Linked DNA regions of Arabidopsis thaliana. The protein of the gene in region 2 interacts with the protein of the main gene of each other region in a pairwise test. Each region holds a gene or a part of one and is shown on either strand. Other genes may lie near its edges.

What was found. Proteins that work in one complex are often made in the same cells at the same time.
Region 1: the proteins of AT1G61660 (region 2) and AT1G03040 interact in binary tests that used the Arabidopsis thaliana proteins (3 or more experiments, as listed by UniProt).

What each region holds. Positions count from the first base shown.
Region 1 is NC_003070.9:704,617-708,372, forward strand, and holds the start of AT1G03040 (basic helix-loop-helix (bHLH) DNA-binding superfamily protein), read right to left. Parts: upstream 2,049-3,756; 5' UTR 1,842-2,048; coding exon 1,485-1,841; intron 1,041-1,484; coding exon 918-1,040; intron 752-917; coding exon 686-751; intron 514-685; coding exon 448-513; intron 53-447; coding exon 1-52. Other genes in the region: AT1G03050 (ENTH/ANTH/VHS superfamily protein), read left to right, coding at 3,110-3,573, 3,688-3,756.
Region 2 is NC_003070.9:22,754,772-22,758,527, reverse strand, and holds the start of AT1G61660 (basic helix-loop-helix (bHLH) DNA-binding superfamily protein), read left to right. Parts: upstream 1-2,156; 5' UTR 2,157-2,356; coding exon 2,357-2,679; intron 2,680-2,799; coding exon 2,800-3,208; intron 3,209-3,304; coding exon 3,305-3,412; intron 3,413-3,498; coding exon 3,499-3,564; coding exon of another isoform or gene 3,565-3,648; exon of another isoform or gene 3,649-3,693; coding exon 3,694-3,756.

The sequences.
Region 1 (3,756 bases), about 22 Mb from region 2:
TGACTAGTGGTGCGACAGCACCGGCTCCACCAAGACGGCTCATGCTCAGGACCTGCCATAGTTGACCAGAGATAAAGCTTATGAAGGAAAAATATTATCAAAGCCCATCATTGCATAAAATATTCTTCAATGTTCTCATTAGCTTTATTACAATAGTCCTCAATTGTGATGATTCTCCATGGGAGGGAAGCAAGCAAAAAGTGAAAGACACTAATGCCAAAAAACACACAATCATGTACTCTTTGATTACTCTTTATTGCCAGATTAAACAATTATAATCTTTTATTAAGATTGGAAGTTTGGTTTAAGAGAGTAGGTGGTGGTGGGGACCAAGGATTTACACCACTAAATCCTTCTGGCTGTTTTAAATAATCTTTCTACAAACTTTTAATGATAGCATTTTCAAAAACCAGAGAATAGAAAACTGAAAATGACTTGGGTGTTTACCTTAACTTGGAGCCTGAGAAACTTTACATAATCGACAATCTCGTCGATCATAGCAGCCCTATCTGTCTGCAAAAGGAAAGCAAAAGAAACAGATGTGAATACCGCAGTTTCTATATGCCAATCACAAAACTTTTCTCTCATTGACAACTCTAGTTTTCTCCCTACTTTTAAAATCTCTTTCAAGCTCTCTTCGCGACATGAAAACAGTAGCTGAAGCTCTAGAGAAAAAGATACCAACCTTGTTAACGGTAGGTACAAGTTCCTGCAACGACCTGATCCGTTCTGCTATTCTTTCCCTTCGGAGCTGTTGCAAAGCAAATACATTCAGGTTAGGTCTTACCGTTCTTAGTAAGTAAGAACTAATCGAACTTTCTCAACCAAAAGCTATAATTAAAGCTTTGATCAAACATTATCACATAAAAATCGAAAAAAGAGACCAGAAGATAAAAAAAGTGTATCAAACATCTTACCCTCTCAGCGATGCTATGTGGATCGGTAGCTTGACCTCGCCTAGCCCTAACTCTAGGCCGAATAGTAGACTGTTGATGCGGCATTGGTGGAGCTGGCTGTGACATTGGCTGCCCATGGAAAATCTTCAACAAAACACAAAACAATGCCGTAATAACATTAAGAAAAGCTTAAAAACCGCTTCTCACAAGAACGGTCGCCACTAGAGTAGTTATAGCAACAATTCAAACTATGACGGAATTATCCACATGAGAAAAGAAACTAAAGAGCAAATTTTCTTACAATATAATTTGGACATAAAAGAACACTCTTTTATACTAAAGTTTCTTGCAAAACTAATTTTAGTGTTATGACTTTAAAACACATCAAAATCTTCAACTTGGGTTTCTTCAAAAACATCAAATCTCACCAATCTGAGCCAAAAACTCTCGGTAACTATCAAATTTAGACCTAAGCTGGGTTTTCTCAAAAACGACACCATTTTGAAACCCTAAAGATTTGAATTTCACTTTATTTTCTCGAGAACACAAAAGAAAAAGACAAAGTGAAGATTCTGAAGAGAAACTTACAGGTTTCATAGAGGAACATCGATTATCAAGAACATCGTCTTGGAAACGTTTACCAGTTTCATCAGGTTTAAGAAAGCCATGTCCTTTCCCTTGATCGAGACTTAATCCCAACGGAAACATCTGATTATGAAACCCTACAGGTCCACCTCCTCCAATGGCACCCATATGATTATGATTCCCTTCGTTGCCTGAACCAAGCTGAAGCATCATCGGAGGTGGACCCACGCCGCCGATTCCAGAGAGACCAGAACCTGAAGAACCGGAGAAGTTGGAAAGCCCGAGGATCTGCTCGAAGAAATCGTCGGTAGGAGATGGATCGGAGATGCTATCATGTGGGATGTTGTTGTTATTAGCCATGAAGGAAACGAGTAAAGGTTTGAAATTTTCGACTCAGTGGAGCTGGGTGAGTTAAAAGATAGCGAGTTAGAGAAGAGAAGTCGAAGAACAACTTTCCATGCGAAGAATCTTGTGTGGAGTTGTTAGGTGAGAGAATGATGATGCTTAAGCTAATGAGGACGAAGAGACACAGACGAGAAAGGATATGACAAAAAGACTCACTTTATGCTCTCTTTCATTTTATTTTTGTTAAAAGGACCTTACTTTGTGGTTTATTTTCGGTTTTGCCCTTGTTCTTATATACCTTCCAGAAACTTGAAGTGGGCTTTATTTGTTTTGAAGTGGGCTTTTTGTTTTGACTTTCTTCAATTTATTCATATCAAATTAAGAAAAAGGTCTTTTACCAAACTCTTTTTAGTAGAATGTTAAAAACCAATATAACTTTCTTTTTTTAAAATATATAAATGATATGGGAAAAATTCTACGCATTGTCGGGGTCGTCGTCATCTCGTTAGTGGTAGAAAATAAGATTTTTTTAAAAAAATCTGTCTTTGTCGTTTTTTCCGAAATTTAGCACTCATGGAGTAAAGTTTCTAATATCCAATATAAAAATGACACGTTTCATTTTGCCATATGGTATTACAACTTGCTTCTCCTTAGTGCTGAACCGTTGTCCGACTCGTTTTCCATTTTGAGAGACAAGGGTTTTTCTATTTTTCACAAAACAAAATTGTGGCATTTCTGAATATAATACGAGTAAAAAATATGTCAGCAGAAATGGGCTTGGATCGATTTTGATTTGTTGGATTCCATAATTCAATCTTGGGCTTCCAATCCATAAGAAAAAAGCTTGGTGTATTTTTTTTTACAAATTAGAAGAAAGTTTTTTCCTCTTTAATCAGTACTCTTCTCCTTACCCATTAATGGCAAATGCAAACTAAATTTCAGTTGACCCGTCAAACAATAAGTTAATTTTTTGCCACGTGGCCATATTTCTCACCGGACAAAGCCTCCAATAACCTCGGCGACTTTAGATGGTGAATAATCGACGAACAACAAAGAAACTACATTGACGAAACAAACAAACAAAAACATAGAAGAAGAAGAAGAAGAAACAAAACAAAACTAAACAAGAAACAGAGGAGAAAAAAGGAAACGACGAGGAAAAACAAAAACAAAATAAAAACAAGCCTCGTTCTTCCCTTTTCTCTCTTCAAATCTTTTCTTTTACATATTTTCTTTTCTTTTTTTTGTCTTTAATACAAATTTACTAACTAATCAGAATAAAAATGGGTTCGAGTAAGTTTAAACGAGCCATAGGAGCCGTAAAGGACCAAACCAGCGTCGGTCTAGCCAAAGTCAATGGTCGAAGCGCTTCTTTATCTGAACTTGACGTAGCCATCGTCAAAGCCACTCGTCACGAAGAGTTTCCAGCAGAAGAGAAATACATTAGAGAGATTCTTAGCCTAACTTCTTACTCACGCAGTTACATCAACGCTTGCGTTAGCACGCTTTCGAGACGCCTTAATAAAACCAAATGCTGGACCGTTGCCCTCAAAACCTTGATTTTGATCCAAAGGCTCTTAGGAGAAGGAGATCAAGCCTACGAGCAAGAGATCTTCTTCGCCACTCGCCGTGGAACAAGGCTTCTCAATATGTCTGATTTTAGGGATGTTTCGAGGTCTAATTCTTGGGACTACTCTGCGTTTGTCAGGACTTACGCATTGTACCTTGACGAAAGGCTTGATTTCAGGTAAGAGTTCTTGTGCTTGATCCAGGTTCCGATTCGGGATTTCAAGTTATTTATGTAATTTGAATGATATCTAAGATATGCGGTTTTTTTTTTTTTTTCATTGCAATTTTTGAGGATGCAAGCGAGACACGGGAAACGTGGAGTTTACTGCGTTGGAGGAGAAGCTGACGAAGAAGAACAGGA
Region 2 (3,756 bases):
CAAAATGCATTGTGTCGCATAGAGAGACCATTAAGAAAAAAATTCAATTAGTTCTTAATTAATATTTTAATAATAATTAGATAAATTGGGGCCTTTATAGTCTTCATTTGTCCTCAATAGCCATTATCCAATAAAATATTACCAGTTTCATTTGATATTTTTGTGTCATATTTTTACCATTTAAGACTTTTCACAATTCGAATAGCCATGAACAATAAAAATCTACGAGTTTCATTTGATATTTTTTTTTTTTTGCCGAATACATTTAAGACTTTCACTTCTACTAACCATGAACAATGGTCTCCCAATTACAAAATATATTTTTGAATCATTGGACTACCATAAATGATTAGTGTCTTTTTTGTATTACATGTAACGTAAAAATACCATTCTTCAAGCATTCATAACAATTTTTTTTTTGTCAAGATACATAACGTAAATTTGAATTTCGTAATAACGATACTAGCACAATTTAGCTTAGAATATGTCCAATTTTTTTTTTTATTTTGAAAGGAGATAGATATATAAATATTATATACATGGATATCGGTGAAATTATGTTTATTATCTATGCCTATCGTTTGATAAAACTTGTATATTTTATGGACGGTGACACAGCCCGGTTCACTATGCCTCGAGCCGTATAATGATCATAAAGAACAGAACTGGTTACTATTATCAGGTTCAACAAATCCATTTTTTGATATTTTGTGTGGCTATCAGTCTATCACATAAAATGGAAAAAGAATTAAGAGAAAGAAGAAAAACAAAACAATGACTTGTAATTAAAGTGCAATAATTGATTGACTTATCAAATTTATTAGAAGAATAAAATATTTACGGAATTTAGAAAAAGCTAGTTGAAAAGAATAAGGACCGTTTGGTATAAAGAGATTGTGAAAAAAGTCACAAACACAATAGGTCCAGAAACGGTGACGTGACACACAGATCGAAACTCAGCATCGATCGACGATCGTCATCATATACCATTTATCCCTTTAGCCTCAAGCCACAAGAACAAATCTTATTTTATAGTACTATTTTTAACCGAAAGAATCCGATCGACAATGAAATAAATATCGAACTCATATCAAGTGCTAACTCTAGGTTTTGCCATTAATTTTGCGTTTTCCAATCGAGCTAAAAACAATTGATCGTCTATTAAAAAAATAAAAATTCCTATGATCGCTTTTTCGATCTAAAACTAATTTTTAGTAATAGTAATACCTGTTAAAGTATAAATATCCCTCCCAAGTACTGAAAACTCAAACCTGAACGAGCTAGCCTAGGACTCAACTTTTATCTCGAAAGAATCTTTGAATATTACTTTTGAAAATAAGTGAGTCTAATCCTTGAAGATATATGTTTTAAAGTTTTTTTTAGCAAATGCGATTGAGAAAACATATATTTTAACTTCAAGATAATCATTACTGTATGAAAGTATGGATAATTAATTAGAAGAAACGTTGTTCAAAAATTGGTTAGTCGTTTATAATTACCAAAATAATAAAACAATTATTAATACGCTTGCATAGACTAATTAGTTTTTTTTTTTCCTAAGCTTACTAAAGTGATCTGATAAAAATCATGTATGGAAGCATGAAAGTAATAAAAAAATATCAAGTTTCAAAATTTTAGTCTTTCATATTTATGTACATTTATATATATACGCATGCGTAGACTATAATCAGTCATTTTCGTGTTTTGTCTATACAATTACTAAAAACTGATTTAATCAAAATCGTGATATGTTTTCTATTTCTGACCACTTAATATAAACGATCGATTTGTAGAATTTGATGGCAACCAATCAAAGGTTACCGTTAGATATAATGTCTATATATAAATAGTATCCCCTTTTGGCATCTTGCATAATAGTACCAAACACCTATCTAATCTCAAATTAAATATTTAAATATTTATAAAATGAGGATCATTATCACTTCTTCGAAAAGCTAAGCAGCAAAGAAACAAATCTCACAAAGACAGTTGTTCTTATAATAATAGAAGAAAATTGAGGGATTAGGAACACTATTATTACAACATCTTTCTGTCAAATAAAATATTTAGCTTAAGGAAAAAATTTAAAATCAAGATTATTTAATTAAAAAAATCACATAGGAATGTTATGATGATATAAGTTTTTGTCTTCAAATGTCAACTAAATTCCGGTAATTTCCACACACTTGTCCGTACTTGCCTATATAAACATACACACCCTCATAAACATATATCAAAATTTTACACTTATGCTCTTCATATCACATACAACAAACTCATATATATAAAAACTTTAACCTTCGTATAGCAACGATCTAGTAGAAAGCTTATACTAAAACTTTCTGATTCTCTTAATATGGCGGAGGAGTTTAAAGCTACGGCATCGATTTGTGGTGGCGGAGGTGGCGCGTGGTGGAACTCGCCAAGGAGCGTTATGTCTCCTTCGGATCATTTCTTGTCACCATGCTTCGGAGCGGCTATCACTTCCAATGATTTTAGCTCGCAAGAGAATCATCTCAAATCTAGGATGACTTGTACGGACAACAACAACATCGTTTTCGGGCAGCGAGAGGCGGATTCTGACAGTGGAGGAAGTACCGTGACGATGGACTCGACGTTGCAGATGATGGGTCTAGGGTTTTCCTCAAATTGTTCTTCAGATTGGAACCAAACCATTTTGTAAACTTCTTAAAGAAAAACCCTAACTTAATTTTTTTTGTTCACTTTCTTGATGAACAAGATTGAAGATTTTTAATAATAATCATGAGATCTCTTTTGTTCTTGTTTTGTATTTTTCAGACAAGAAGACTTAAACTCAAGCTTCATAAGGAGCTCACAAGATCAAGATCATGGCCAAGGATTCTTATCCACAACTACTTCACCTTATATACTTAATCCAGCTTGTTCTTCATCTCCATCAACTTCTTCGTCCTCAAGCTTGATACGAACCTTTTACGATCCCGAACCAAGTCCATACAACTTTGTCTCCACCACAAGTGGTTCAATCAACGATCCTCAACTTTCTTGGGCTAATAAGACAAATCCTCATCATCAAGTAGCTTATGGACTAATTAACAGCTTCTCTAACAACGCAAACTCTCGACCCTTTTGGAATTCTTCATCAACCACTAACTTAAACAACACGACGCCGAGCAATTTTGTAACCACTCCGCAGATAATATCTACTCGTTTGGAGGACAAAACCAAGGTAAATTATCTCATATATGTCAAAATAATTTTGCTACTATATAAGTTTTGTGGCTATATTATTGAATTTATTTATTTATTTATTTTTGTTGAGAAGAATCTGAAGACAAGAGCTCAGAGTGAGTCTTTGAAGAGAGCAAAGGATAATGAATCTGCGGCGAAGAAACCGAGAGTCACCACGCCTTCACCGTTGCCAACTTTCAAGGTACATGATCATATTTCAAGATTTGTTTAAGACCTTTTATTTTAATTCAATTTCTTGGTGGATAAAATGGATTGTATATGTAACAGGTGAGAAAAGAGAATCTAAGGGACCAGATAACTTCATTACAACAACTAGTTTCACCTTTCGGAAAGGTGAATGATTTATGTGTTTACTTTATTTTATATGGCTTAATATATACAACCAAAAGCATTTATTTTCCCTTGGTTATGTATTGAGCTTCTTAGTTTGTTTATTTTGTATATCTTTGGGTTAAACTTCAGACAGATACTGCATCTGTTCTCCAAGAAGCTATAGAGTACATCAAGTTCCTTCACGACCAAGTC